Caenorhabditis elegans: one gene and its partner. The protein of the gene in region 1 purifies or fractionates together with the protein of each later gene. This does not show direct contact. Each region holds a gene or a part of one and is shown on either strand. Other genes may lie near its edges. The genes, in order: timm-17B.1 and scpl-4.

Evidence for each region.
Region 2: the proteins of timm-17B.1 (region 1) and scpl-4 fractionate together in Caenorhabditis elegans (co-fractionation; one large-scale study listed by BioGRID). This does not show direct contact.

The regions. Positions count from the first base shown.
Region 1 is NC_003282.8:4,742,243-4,749,271, reverse strand, and holds timm-17B.1 (putative mitochondrial import inner membrane translocase subunit tim-17B.1), read left to right. Parts: upstream 1-3,779; 5' UTR 3,780-3,798; coding exon 3,799-3,824; intron 3,825-3,872; coding exon 3,873-3,984; intron 3,985-4,033; coding exon 4,034-4,219; intron 4,220-4,275; coding exon 4,276-4,386; intron 4,387-4,443; coding exon 4,444-4,554; 3' UTR 4,555-4,895; downstream 4,896-7,029. Other genes in the region: rpl-18A (Large ribosomal subunit protein eL20), read left to right, coding at 1-93; cyc-2.1 (Cytochrome c 2.1), read left to right, coding at 831-1,010, 1,062-1,217; tctn-1 (Tectonic domain-containing protein), read left to right, coding at 1,440-1,620, 1,674-1,777, 2,160-2,688, 2,743-2,990, 3,041-3,172, 3,219-3,437; elac-2 (Zinc phosphodiesterase ELAC protein 2 homolog), read left to right, coding at 5,022-5,065, 5,834-5,965, 6,218-7,029. UniProt on the Caenorhabditis elegans protein: Essential component of the TIM23 complex, a complex that mediates the translocation of transit peptide-containing proteins across the mitochondrial inner membrane.
Region 2 is NC_003283.11:10,596,022-10,603,050, reverse strand, and holds scpl-4 (Mitochondrial import inner membrane translocase subunit TIM50), read right to left. Parts: upstream 3,947-7,029; 5' UTR 3,940-3,946; coding exon 3,864-3,939; intron 3,823-3,863; coding exon 3,734-3,822; intron 3,686-3,733; coding exon 3,578-3,685; intron 3,535-3,577; coding exon 3,364-3,534; intron 3,322-3,363; coding exon 3,094-3,321; intron 2,677-3,093; coding exon 2,350-2,676; intron 2,305-2,349; coding exon 2,148-2,304; intron 1,480-2,147; coding exon 1,277-1,479; 3' UTR 904-1,276; downstream 1-903. Other genes in the region: H27A22.1 (Glutaminyl-peptide cyclotransferase), read right to left, coding at 491-496; T21C9.13 (DUF4149 domain-containing protein), read right to left, coding at 4,622-4,845, 4,891-5,082, 5,129-5,309, 5,361-5,504. UniProt on the Caenorhabditis elegans protein: Essential component of the TIM23 complex, a complex that mediates the translocation of transit peptide-containing proteins across the mitochondrial inner membrane.

The DNA of each region.
Region 1 (7,029 bases):
GCCAAGATCAGATTCCCACTCCCACATCGCGTCACCAAGAGAAAGAACCTCAGCGTCTTCACAACCGCTCGCCAAAACACCCACTTCGCCTAAGTTGCGGATTATTGTTATTTGTTACAATAAATTGTTGCAAACAAATTTTTTTCTTAATTTTTCATTTTAAATTTGTGTGGTTTGAATCCTGTTTGTTCAGCTTGTTATTTGTTTACTGTTTTTATCTCGTGCGCAGCACTTGTTGATGTTATTAGATGATCATTGCAATGATCCATAAGGCATCGGACCGCCCAGCTGACTTGTGTGACTGGTAAATTTTGTCAATATTTTCAAATTTGTTCTTTTGCAATATAGATATCTGCTCTTCTATATTCAGTTCTTACGCTACTAGATCTGTAACTACATTCCTTAAAGTTCAATATCACTATTTCGATAAGGTAAATTAATTCTTAATAATTGAGATAAGTTGATAAAAATCTGGATAACTGTAGATTTTGTAAGTTGTAAGCGTTAGAAATGCGGTAAATCTCGTAGAAACTTTATTTTTTGTATTTTAAGGGCAAAACCTTTCAGATCATAGATAAAAAGTTCAACAGCGTCATTTTAGTATGTCCTCGCTGAATGATATTTCACCCAGACTCCCGAGAGCGACCGCCCGATTGTTCTATGGCCTTTCTGTGTCTCTGCGTCTCCTCGCCGCCCGAGAGATGGCACAACCCCCGTTTCTTTCTCGCTATTGCATCACGGGCGGTTCCCCAAGTGCTGCTGTGGCGGTTTCTTCCTGCTAGACTCTTTTAGTATATATTTCACTAATTTCTGTATTTTAAGGGTTCAACATGTCCGATATCCCAGCTGGAGATTACGAAAAGGGAAAGAAGGTGTACAAGCAGAGATGCTTGCAGTGCCACGTCGTTGACTCGACCGCCACAAAGACCGGACCAACCCTCCACGGAGTTATCGGACGTACATCAGGAACTGTGTCTGGATTCGACTATTCCGCTGCTAACAAGAACAAGGTACAACTAATAAATTATTTCTTAACGTTTATTATAAATTAAAAATTATAGGGAGTCGTCTGGACCCGCGAGACCCTCTTCGAGTACCTCCTCAACCCAAAGAAGTACATCCCAGGAACCAAGATGGTGTTCGCTGGACTCAAGAAGGCTGACGAGCGTGCAGATCTCATCAAGTACATCGAGGTTGAATCCGCCAAGTCCCTCTAAATATTCCCCTAAATGTTCTCGCCTAGCTACGGCAATTTTTCATAGTTAGGCACTTTCGATTGTTTTACTTTTATATATTGCACTAATTTTGTGTCATTCTCATTTTTAGTAGCAAGAATATACGTCAATTTGGAAAATAAATAATTTTCCTAAATTCGTTTTCCTTTTCCCCACAGTCGCATCACAGCAGGTGTACACTCTTCCGCTACCATAGCAACCAAAATGGGCACCAATGCACCAAGAAATCGGAACGAGCTTTTTGTCATGCATCTTCTTGGATTTATTTTTCTTTTAACTTATTGTTCGGCTGATACTCCAGAGGTTTGTTATCCGTCAGTTGTTCGGCACCGGATTGATTCGATATTTCCAACTTCTCGTTTGTTCTGCGTCTCCAAGCAAAATGGTGGGCTTTTTTTAGCTGAACGCGAACAAATTACGGAGCTTTTTTGAATTTAGATGATTTGGAATATGGTGACGTGGAAATTGTGAATGGCGAAGAGCAATGGAACGAATTTTCAAAATCTAGATGGCAGCAAGATGAATCTGATTCACAAGAAAATGTAACACAATTAAAGATCTACGCAGACGGAAAATTTTGCGCCAGAAATACTGTACCTGGTCTCGACACGCTTTTGTTTGTAAAACGCGAAAAGATAAATATGCGCCTTTAAAGGAGTTCTGTAATTTCAAATATTCGTTTCTGCGGAATTTTCATTGATTTTTAATAATTTACCCATACATATTACAAATCATGAGAAAATGTGAAAAATCTATCAAAAATTTCGCAGAGATGAAAGTTTGAAATTACAGTACTCTTTTAAAGGCGCACATCTCCTCGCATCAAAAAATTATGTCGTGTTGAGACCGGGTAAATACAGTAGTTTTCGAGATAAATCTCAAGACTTCGGTTAATAATGAATTGAGATTTCTTTTTTTTTTCAGTTAGAACTCTTACATTTCGGAAGTTCAAGAGCCGTTCGCCTATTCAAATTTCCCGCTGCAATTTCAGCATCCGATTTCTGTACTGGAACTCAAAATGTGATAACGAAAAGGAATATGACAGTAAAGTGCAAGCCTCTCGCCACCACTGATATTTTGTCTCATTGTTCCGAAAATGAGTTTCTCAATGCTCAGGCTCTGTTTGGAAACGGCGATTTTGTAGAACGAACCGAAAATGAGACGATTGCGATTCCAAGGCTCAGCACCGCCCAATTTATAGCTCCAGTTTGGAATAATTCAATGTGTTATGGAGTTTTGAAATCTGCAAATATTATATTCCGAATGAATGGGATAAAAACGAATTCCGTTGAGATTGATGCCCAATATGATAGTCTTCCTGGAAATGTAGATAATAATTGGTTCGAGCAGACATTTTCAGTTTATTGGATTCCGCTTGTGGTTGCCAGTGAGATAGAGACAAATCAGACTGTTGTAGGATATAAAGCTGGGGAGCAAACTTATAGGGTTAAAGGTTATTTCAAATTGTAGATCTTATATTTGTTCTACATTTTCAAAAATATTTCAGGTTCTATTCCCGTTCCATTCGCTGTTCCAACACTAGGCAACTGCTATTCTGGATCTATTGCACCATCTCCTGTGTTCTTCCTTCGATCGATGTCTTCTGTGTGCACGATTTCCACAATAAATTGCGAAGATGCTCGTGCAAAAGCGAGAGCATTCTACGAACAAGTTTATCCATCCGTACTTGTTTCATCGCCTTCAGAAGATGCACATCCAGCTTCCGTTGGGAGAGTTAATGTTACTTGGGAAGAAGTATTTATTATTTAATTAGCTATTTAATTTATATATTTTTTTAATTTCAGCTATCACCTTCCACAATATCCTGCCGTTTACCTGTGTCCTCGTTACTTCAAATCTACTATTCCAAGCAAGGATCTACAAAAAACTATCGAGAGGTTATAATTGCAGGAAACTCACAGCTACTTTTAGATGATGTATGACCTTCTTATTTAATGTATACAAAATTAGTTTTTTATTCAGGTTCCGTATCTTTCTGGCCAAGAAATTCGTATGCCAATCTCAATTTCATTCACAGAAGTCACACCACCTCCGAAGAACATATTTTCAGCTTTACCTTACGTTGATATTCGACTACCTCACGACTTCTTCTATCCATTTATGAGCACTTCAAACTACTCTGCTAGCTTAAACTATTCACAATGTATTTTTATCATTTTTATAATCTATATTCTTAAATAAAAACTGTTTTTAAAGTATTTATCCTTGTTAATTTTTATTAAATCTAGTCACAAACTAAAGAAAATATTTATTTTATTTAACTTTAATGTTTAAGATTTAAACTTTTAAGATAAAAGTTAATGATTCAAAGAAATAAATAAAAATAAAAACGATAGAAAAAACGAAAGTCAAGAAGGACGCAAGCAATTCTTTGCTGACGCATGTCTCGTGAAATTTGCGTGATGGCGCACTTCTCGTGCACTTTTCTCGAGCTTTCAGATTCATTTTTCAACTCAATTCTTTACAAAAAACTGCACTTTTACCGCTTTAAAATCAATAAATTTAATCAATTTCTGTTTTCAGGGAATAAATACACACAAAAATGGAAGAGTACACCAGAGAGCCATGGTAAGATTTCCTAAAATTGGTTTTTTTACTGAAAATAATTTTTTCCAGCCCATATCGTATCGGAGATGATATTGGATCGGCGTTTGCGATGGGTCTCGTTGGAGGATCCATTTTCCAAGCTTTTGGAGGATATAAAAATGCGGCGAAAGGAAAGAAATTGGTGATTAATTTTTTAAAGACAAAAATACTTAATTAATTGATTAATTTAGGTTGGGATGATGCGAGAAGTACGAATGAGAAGCACATTAACAGGAGTTCAGTTTGCCGCTTGGGGAGGAATGTTCAGTACAATCGATTGTTGTCTTGTCGCCATCCGCAAGAAGGAAGACCCCATCAACTCTATTGTTTCTGGAGGATTGACTGGAGCTCTTTTGGCGATCCGTTCAGGACCAAAGGTAGCAGAATAGCTTTAATTTAGTGAATTAATAATAATTTAATAATTTTTGTTTAGGTGATGGCAGGAAGTGCGATTCTTGGCTCTGTAATTCTGGCTATGATCGAAGGAGTCGGATTGGTGACCACCCGCTGGATGGGAGCAATGATGGATCCAACACAGCCGCCGGTATGTTTTGTTTTCTGGCTCAAAACTTATTTATTTATTTATTCACTATTTTTGCAGCCAGAAGCTCTCGACGATCCACGCAGTCTGGGACAAAAGAGTCAAGCAGAACCAGGACTCGACCAAACGAGACCCTTCGGAATTCCAACTGGATTACCAAATCTGTCCTAAATCTTTTTTCACTCATATCCGTTTTTCTTTATGCTTTTGTCTCTTATCTCAATTTTCCCCCCTCCAACTTCGGTGATCGGCCGATTCCTCTACATTTTTTAGGAGCTCCAATTTTATTAGTTACATATTACATTAGTGTTGTTTGTTTTGTTGATGATGTTCATTGCGATCACGAATCTTATTTAGATTCGCGCTTTCCTTCCAAAAATCAAGTTTCAGATCCGTATGGGTGCACGGCATCTCCATCTCTCCCCTGTTTTTTCGAATTTCTTTCCCCTTTAATTTCTTTTTAATAATCTTCACTGTTCCCTATTTCTTTTTCCGATGAAGACGTTGTTTATAATATCATGATGATTCAATCGTGTTTAAAGTAAAATTAAATCTTGAAATTATACATTAACTTCCAGCTCTTTAGCACAATAGAGTGCATGAAATTCAAATAAATTTCAGCTGAAAGCTCGAAGCTGATGCTCGGAGCGATTGCGAGGAAAACTGTAGAGAATCGGATTCTGTAAGGGTTTGTGAGTGGTCCCCCCAATTGAAATAGACGAGAAAATTTGCGATTTTAGGCAAAAATTCTGAAATTTCATTATTTTTTACCCGAAAACCTTGAAATTCGAGATTTCTCGTTTAAAAAACGCGAAATTTTTATACAGAAACTCCAGGTTTTGAGAAAAAACGGGAATTTTTCTACATTTTGCCTGAAAATATCGATATTTGATTTTTAAACAATGAATTTCACGGTGTTTTTTGCTAGAAATGCATTTTAAAAATTTGAAAACATGAAAATGTTGTTTTTTGGCATAAAGTGTATAAAAATATCGGAAATTTTGCGGAAAATTGCATGAAATGTTTTTATGCTAAAAATACGGTATATGGTCTCGACGCGAGAAAGTTTTGCAAACTGCAAAGAGGCGTGCGCCTTTAAAGAGTACTGTAATTTTAAACTTTTGTTTTTGCGGATATTTCATAGTTTTTCATCCCGTTTTCTTGAAATTGTATGTGTTTAAAAAATTATATATGTATCCCACAGTCTCGTCATCGAAAGCGCACAAAAAACAGCCTACTGGCGCGGATATATCCACGGCGAGACTTTGAAGCTACAGTACTCTTTAAAGGCGCACGCTTTTTCAAGTTTTGCAGCAAAAACTGTCGTGTCGAGACCTAGTTTGTTGGAGATTTGCAAAATTCCACACCTGGATAACAACAATTTTAATTTCTGCATGTTTTTCCGCTAGTACTTTCACATTTCGCAATTTTTCACAATCTCACTTTTCAGAGTTTCTCGTCACTTGATTTCTTCAACCAGCTGCTTATTTAAGGATAATAACGAAGAATTATTAGAAAGTATCAAGGAGAGAATTGCCAGAAATCGCCGAATTCTTCAGAAGCATTCGTCTTCACATTTGAAGTGAGTTTTATTGGGATTTTTTGTCTGAAAAGTACAGTACGGGGTCTCGGCACGACAATTTTGTTGAATGGCAAAATGCGTTAAAGAGACATTTTTCAAGATTTCACATATATGTTCGACCTCAAAACTTGAAATTTGACATGCTTCCGTCAATTTTTTCAAAATTTCAGTTGAAAAATACATAAACTGTATGAAAAAATTCGAATTTTTGATTTTTTTGACGCTATTTAATAAACTTTACCAATATTTCAGAGCTCGAGAAGTAAACGCAAGCATCTCAAATCTGCGACAATCAATGGCGGCAGTGCAGAAGAAACAAAAAGCGGCTCACGAACCACCGGCCAACTCAATTGTCAACATTCCCAGTCAAGTATCGATCGAAGTTCTCGGTAATGGAACAGGACTTCTCCGAGCATGCTTCATCCTTCGAACACCACTGAAAACCTACATGTTCAACTGCCCTGAGAATGCATGCAGATTCCTGTGGCAGCTTAGGATCCGAAGTTCAAGCGTCGTTGATCTTTTCATCACATCTGCAAATTGGGATAATATTGCTGGAATTTCATCAATTCTACTTTCTAAGGAATCAAATGCATTGTCTACTCGACTTCATGGTGCAATGAATATCAAACACTTTTTGGAATGTATTCGACCATTTCAAGATTCGGATTACGGTAGCTGCAAGTATCCATCTCAAGTTGAAGAACGTCCATATACAATGGAGAATTATGAGGATGCCGGATTAAAGGTCACATATATTCCTCTGAGTCCACCGTTGAATATCGGAAGTAACAACGAAAAAAGTAAAAATGTGAAAGTCAACAATGTAGACATTGCATTTTTAATCGAAATGAAGGAGGCAGCCAGACGAATCGATACGATGAAGTTGATGGAACTGAAAGTACCGAAAGGTCCACTAATTGGAAAACTGAAATCAGGAGAAGCAGTTACTCTTCCAGATGGAAGGACGATTCAACCTGATCAAGTTTTCTCATCGGATAAAGTTGAAGGAGACAAGCCACTGCTTTTAGTGACAGAATGTACTACAGAGGATCATGTGAAAG
Region 2 (7,029 bases), on another chromosome or scaffold:
AACTAGCCAACTGTGTAGGAGCGGACAAAAAGACCAGTATCATCCCAATGGACACAGATGCAACTTTAGACGAGACAAATTTCAGGGTAAATTGTCAGATTGGACAATTTTGGACACAATACGTCATATCTATGTTGTAGGTAGTAAGATGATAGGACTTTTAAGAAACGCTTTTCTAATATTGGAATTATTTTTTAATGTTAGGAGTTCATGCTAGATTTATATCTGCCTAACTTTTAATTACAGTTGTAAATTTGAAGAAAAAAAAGAGAAAGTGTATCATTAAACGATAAATCGTACTTTCACTATGTTCTATCACAAAAAGGAAACTCCTGCAGATTTCTTCATTATCACTCGAGAAAGATCCGCCCATTTCTATCATAATCTTTCTGCGTCTTCTATCTTTAAACCTTTCCACCATCTACAATTATTTTCAGAAATCGGAGAGAAAGATTAGTGTAGTATTTATTTACCAGTAGTTTATTCTTACCTTCATAATTGTCCCTCTGTAATCCTTCTCTTGTAGATGACGTCACCAACTGTATTATCTGCGTCTCTCCTCCTCCTATGTTCTCTCTTCTGAAGACCCGTTGCTAAAACGAATGAATTGCTCAATATGGAAAATATATATTTTATGACGTGGAAATAGTCAAACAATTGTAATCGACCAAATGTTTGATTTGACTTTAGAGAGTAACAAAAGAAGAGACGCAGTGAATGAAAGCTTTCAAAATTTGGAACGATCATATACTGCGTCTCTTGTCTTGTGGATGCTTCTGATGCCCTTTTGATGGCAACATCGACCCAGATAATCGAAATGAAATGAAAAGAGAAAAATAAAAAGTGAATGTGATAAAGCTTTCTCGCGATTTTTCAACGCGCGTTTATCAAATGAGAAGAACACAATTTTTCTGAATGTTTTATCGGATTTTATGGTGAGAATTTCAAAAACAAAAGGAAAAATGAAACGAACACTTCTGAAAAAAATTGATACGTTTTTTTGGAAAGGGTGGAATAAGAAACAACAAAAATCAACAAAGAAGTGTGTAGACGGAGAATTCAACTGTCATATACCGGCTCTGAACAACTCTAGTGTGGGAAGAACTAAATTTAAAAAAACACAAGAATGGAAAGAACTAAAAAAGAAAACAATATAAACCTACAATCCTATATTATTAGAAAAATTGAGCTATAAAAAGGCACATTGAGAGTGAAAAGGGCGCAGGGAAAAGAGAGTCAGAGTATCATATCATCAGATGAAAAATGTTTGGAAAGTTTAGGCATTAACGTGTCTTCTAGATCCGAACAATCTTCCAGAATATCTTTTCAACATGGAACTATCATCGGGTTGTTGTTTCTTTTGTTCTTCTTGTTGTGACAAGTATACAGCTCGTCGACGGAATTCTTTCGCTGGATCATCGTATTGCGAGTAGTACTGTAGCATGGGACGAACATCTTCAGCGTCAGATAGGTGAATAGCTGAATTAATAAAATACAAAATGTTCCAATAACGGGATCGATAATGATCATGTTTTTTGCCAAAATTATAAGATTTTATGTTATAATTTTAAAAATGATGTAATTAAATATCGAAGTCAGATCTGTTGGTTTTTCGTTTAATGCGTTTTTTTTTGGTTTTTTCGGGAAAAAGGAAAAATTTGCGAAAATTTTGTTAATCTATCGCAAACTGAAAATCGTATGATAATGTTCAAATTTAACACCTTTTTTTTCAAAAGAAAAATTACACTGGAAATTAGAACTATTGAAAATTTCAATAAAATATCTGAGTTTTTCAAATTAACGTTCAAAACGTATTTTACGGGAACACAGAATTCTGAGAATGCGTATTGCGCAACATATTTGACGCCCAAAATATCTCGTAGCGAAAACTTCTTTAGATGACTACTGTAGCGCTAGTGTCGATTTACGGCATTTCGAAAATCGAGCCCGTAAATCGACACAAGCGCTACAGTAGTCATTCAAAGGATTACTGTAGTTTTCGCTACGAGATAATATGTGCGTGAAATATGTTGCGCAATACGCATTCTCAGAATATTGTAATAAAACAAATTTTTTTTTGCTTTTTTCGTGCTTTTGGCAAAAAAAATTAAAATTGAAGCAAATCATTCATATTCAAAACAACTTACTTTTAAGAAGCTCTGCCAAATCAACTAGACTTGTATCATCCATATTTCCTTTCCACTCTGGTACTCTTAACATGTTTTCTGGATTTAATTGTCCTGATTTAGCGTCAAAATCGATATAAATAACTTTCGACAAATCGCGATTCAATTTCGACAAATCCTGGAAAAAAAGTTTAACTAATTAAGAGAAATCGTAATTTTTTACTTTGACATGGTGTCCATTCATATACTTTGTGCAATCTCTGAACAACTTGTACATAATTCTTTGTTTTGGATCAAAACTATCAACAACTGGAGCAGCTGTCATCATTGATTCAGATGAATAGATAACGACTTCAAAATTTGGATATCCAATGACATCGAGGAAATAGTCAAGTGCTGGACGCTTTAGGAAACGATATCCAGTTTTGTATGTCCATTCAGGATGCACAAGAATATTTTTCAATTCGATCACAATTGTATATTTTGGTTGGAGATATGGTGCTGGCAATGGATCAGGCAACAATTGCTCACGTGCTGGCTCGACGACATACTGAAAATAAAAATATTAAAATACAGTACTGCCGGAAAAAGTCGCGATTCCGACTTTTTTTTTTGAGCAGAAATTACAAATCATTCTGATAATGGTACTAATTTTTAATCATTCTTTTTATATTAAGCTATTTTTTGTAAAATTATTCATTTCAAAAATTGGTCAAGAAAAAGTGCAATGGATGAGATTAACTAAATCTATTTTGAAACTTATCAAATTTTGCATGTGTTACTGATTATGGATTTATAAAATTGTTGGTCTATTTGATGTTTTAAGAAATATTATTATTGGTATATGAATAAATTAGATACTTTCAGAAAATATCAGCAATAGCTGTAGAAAAAAGGTATTCTGGCATTTTGTGTTCAACAATGTTATACATTTCTTTTTTGAATCTTTAAAAGATTGAATTCTCACATCTCTCCATAATTTAAAACTGTTGGCAATGCGGTAGAACGGTGCCAAGAAAGAACCACTGAATTCATCAGATATCACATTTCCGAATTCATCTCGTTGTGCACGTCCATAGTAGAAACAGAACGAAATAAATCCGATAATAGATCCACCAAACAGAACATATGCTCCAATGCGAGTATTTCTTTCCATTCGTTTCCGGCGAGCTTCGATTTCTTCAGCGTTACCAGGCTTAAAAACCACACTTAAAACAGTTATGAATATAAGACTTACGTCACTGTTATCACTAGAACCTCCAGAAGAAGAGGAAGACTTTGATGCAGCAGATTCCAATTTTTCAAGAGAATCTTTCAGTGAGTTCAACTCGTCAATGGCTGAAGACGTGGGGGCAGGAGCAGGAGGCGGGGAGCTCAGCACCTTTTCAGCTTCTATTTTTGGACTTTCCTACAAATTTCAAAATTTATCAAATAAAACAAATTATGCGTACAACTTCGAGTTTCTCTACTTTTGGGGCTTCTTCGACTTCTGATTTGAATGCGATTGCTTCTTGGGTCTCATTTATCGGCAATTTGATACTAGCAAAAACATTTCCGTGCTGAAAACTGTATAATTATAAATTATCTATACTGATTCAAGTCAATACGTTTATTGGCACAATTGGAGCAAAACGAGTGCGTCCATTGTCTGCATAAGGGTTTGCAACAGCCGGTGGGCCCAGAAGAGATTTAAAATCTGAAATTTTTGTATAATGAGAAATATTGGTGGAATCTTACCTGAACTATAAAGTCTTATAAATGTTTTCGCTTGGTGTCGGCTGAAGCAGGTCTGAGTCAACTTGCTCAGCGACATTTTTACCCTGAAATTTTTTGGGATTGGTAGAATCTAGAAATGCGTACTATGATGCAATAATTAGGTTAAAAAAAAGTATGAGAAAACGTAGAAATTTTGATACAAGACCTAATTATTATCTTTGCAAGAAATTTAAAATGAATTGAACATTGTAATAGAATTAAGAAAATAAAACAGGAAAAATCACGTCTTGAACGAACCCTTACGATTTACGATAAACAACACGCGAATCGTAAACCGGAGTGTCGTTGCAAACTTTCATGAAAAATTTTGTTATAATTTTTATAATTTTAACAAAAATGTCTGTATCTTGTTATAAATTTATACTTATAAGAATACGCTTGTTTATTTAATACTTTTTTTCACGAAAATAGTATGCACTAAAGATGTGTTCAAAGAAGTTCCCTATTATTAGCGCTATATCGCTATAAATGTCGAGATGTCAAAGAGCGTGACTGAATTTATTAAATTATATAGATAATCCTGTTAATAAATCAAGCAAGTACAAGTTATTCTTGAAATAAATGAATAGTCGATTTTAAATCGAAATCACAATAGGCTTTGGATATGAATTCAACGTTAGGAGAATATATTATAGGACCGAGCTTATCAACAATCATTGGAGCAATAGAATAAGTTATGAATAGGGATAATATGCTATTAAGGATGAATTAATAATCTCTTATACTATATCTACGGTTTCACATGAAGCATTCTTGTTTGGTGCCATCCGAGTTGAATGAATAGTCGAATAGTGATTCGGCATTGTTGCATCGTATACGCGGAAGCCAGGAACAAGGACGGGACGTGACTCAACCAACTTCAAATGGATTGCGTAGAAATAGACAATATCGTGTAAAACTGCGCAGAATAGTAGAAGGCCGAGCATATTCAACGAGATGTCCACTGAAAAATGTTTTCTCAAATAAAATTCTGGTTCGCTCAACTCACTGATGTTTATCCGTGCATCAACTAGCTGCTTCACTTTGAGCATAAAAAGTACGAGAGTTCCGTTTGTGGCCATGACTGCAAGGAAAATGTAGAGTGGCATGAAGAGACGGCGGTAGAGAAATACTCCGGAAAACAGTATAGCGAGAAGTATCAGCCATTGCACAATCACGACACGAGTCAGAAAAGCTTCATCTGGAAACAAAAATGTATTTTTAAAAAATTTTCAGAAAAAACTCACCAAAAATATTGTTTTTCTTCCTTGGGGTATAGTTTCCATACTGAAAAACGAAAGATCCTGCATAGTATCCAATAGTCAGAATTGCAGCAAATGCATAAAGAAGAACTACTCGTGGCGAGTGTTCAATCCATTCCATCTCTAAACCATCAATGACATCTCGCTTCATAAATACTGTTAGCGGCTGAAAATTTTAATTAGTTTTAATTATTTTTTAAAGCATTTTTCAACTTACCTTTTCAGAACTAACAACAGATTTGCACGGGGGAATATAAAAATAGCTGTGCTCCGCATTCGGTACTGAGTATTTCTTAGAAGCAGGAGTAGCGAATATTGTGTGATTAGTAGGGATTGAAGAAATAAAAGAGGATGACGACATTCCTACTGAAGTGATCGAAGATCAACTGAGGAAATATCGACTGATGAGCATTCAAAACTATCGGGTTCATCATTATGTTCGAATTCGCGGGGTTAAAAAAAGAAGAGCAACAAATGATCTACACACACGCACAAGTCTAAAAACAGGAAAAAATCGAAATTATGATCTAAAAGTTTGAAATATTTATTATTTATACTCTTTCAATATCTAAATATTATTTACACAGAGAACAGAAAATAAAAAAGTTCTTGAAACAATTTCTAAAGCTTCTACAGTAAGAATGAAGGCGCATAGCATTCTTCGTTTAAAAATATATTTCGCGCGGCGAGGCCCACTTGCATAATTGGACCTCCCTTTAAAAAAGTTTGAAATTCACATTAAAAAAGGCCTTTAAAGGCAACGTTAACGCGATATTTACAATGATCATTGTAAAAAGTAGAATAAAAATCGTTACGGTCGTCGTTAGATATTTGACGTGTTTTCCAAAGTTCATAGTTAATTTATTCTATTTAGATCCCTTGGACTTGTATCAACTTAATTTATTCTATCTCAAATTGTGAAAAAATGTTGATTTTATAAATGTCAAAAACATTTGAAGATTTTTACAACTAAAAACATCGCATACAATTTTTGTAATCCCAAGGGTCTCTATCTCCTAGCAACGAATTTCTGACTCCATCTTCCTGACTTCTTTTTGTTTTCAATTCAATTGGCATACAAATAAATCCTATGATTATACATAACCTACACTCTTTCGCCTGAAATCCATTTCTGGTCGAAAGTGGTCATTTTTCTTTCTAAATTGGTATGAGAATGATTTTCTGTCCAATAAAATTTCCACATTCATTCATTCCTGTTCCGTGTCCTATTCTATCTTCCTATTGCTCCCCTCATATAATTTTTTCAATGGCATGTAGTCACGATAAGCATAGTTTTACCAAGTTTATAAACAAACTAAAATGTACACCTTCACATGAAATTTGAACATTTTCATTCAAGTGGCATGATTAGAAAAAATATGTACCAAATTTTTTTAATGACGAAACTTATGATACTGCTCAAATTAAGATTTAGAAGATAAACTAAATTGTTAATCAAATTGTTTCAGTTTAAACTGTTCTACCAACCATTATAAATTAGACTGAACTCATTTGCACAAAACACTTTTCCAGATTTCTAATTATAGTTTTCCACATTTCACTCTGCTGACGTGGCATTTCCATTTCAAATTCACACTCAGAAAACTTGAGCAATTTTCAGGAAATTGGCGGAGTGCCGTCTGATTTATAGCCTTTTTTTTTGTTCGTTGCTTTCATTTTCATCCTTTTCTCTCATTGCTTTCTTTGCCAGATATTCTCGTATCCAATTGAAGGAATAACGAGGAAGCTGTGAAGTCAAGAGAAGTAGTGTATATGTGTCTTCTTGTGACGTGGCTTCTAGTGAAAGCATAGATTCAGAGAAATATAGAGTTCATTGCTCATAAATTTTTATAGTTGGAAGGCCTGTTAGAGAGTGCGCCATGCCC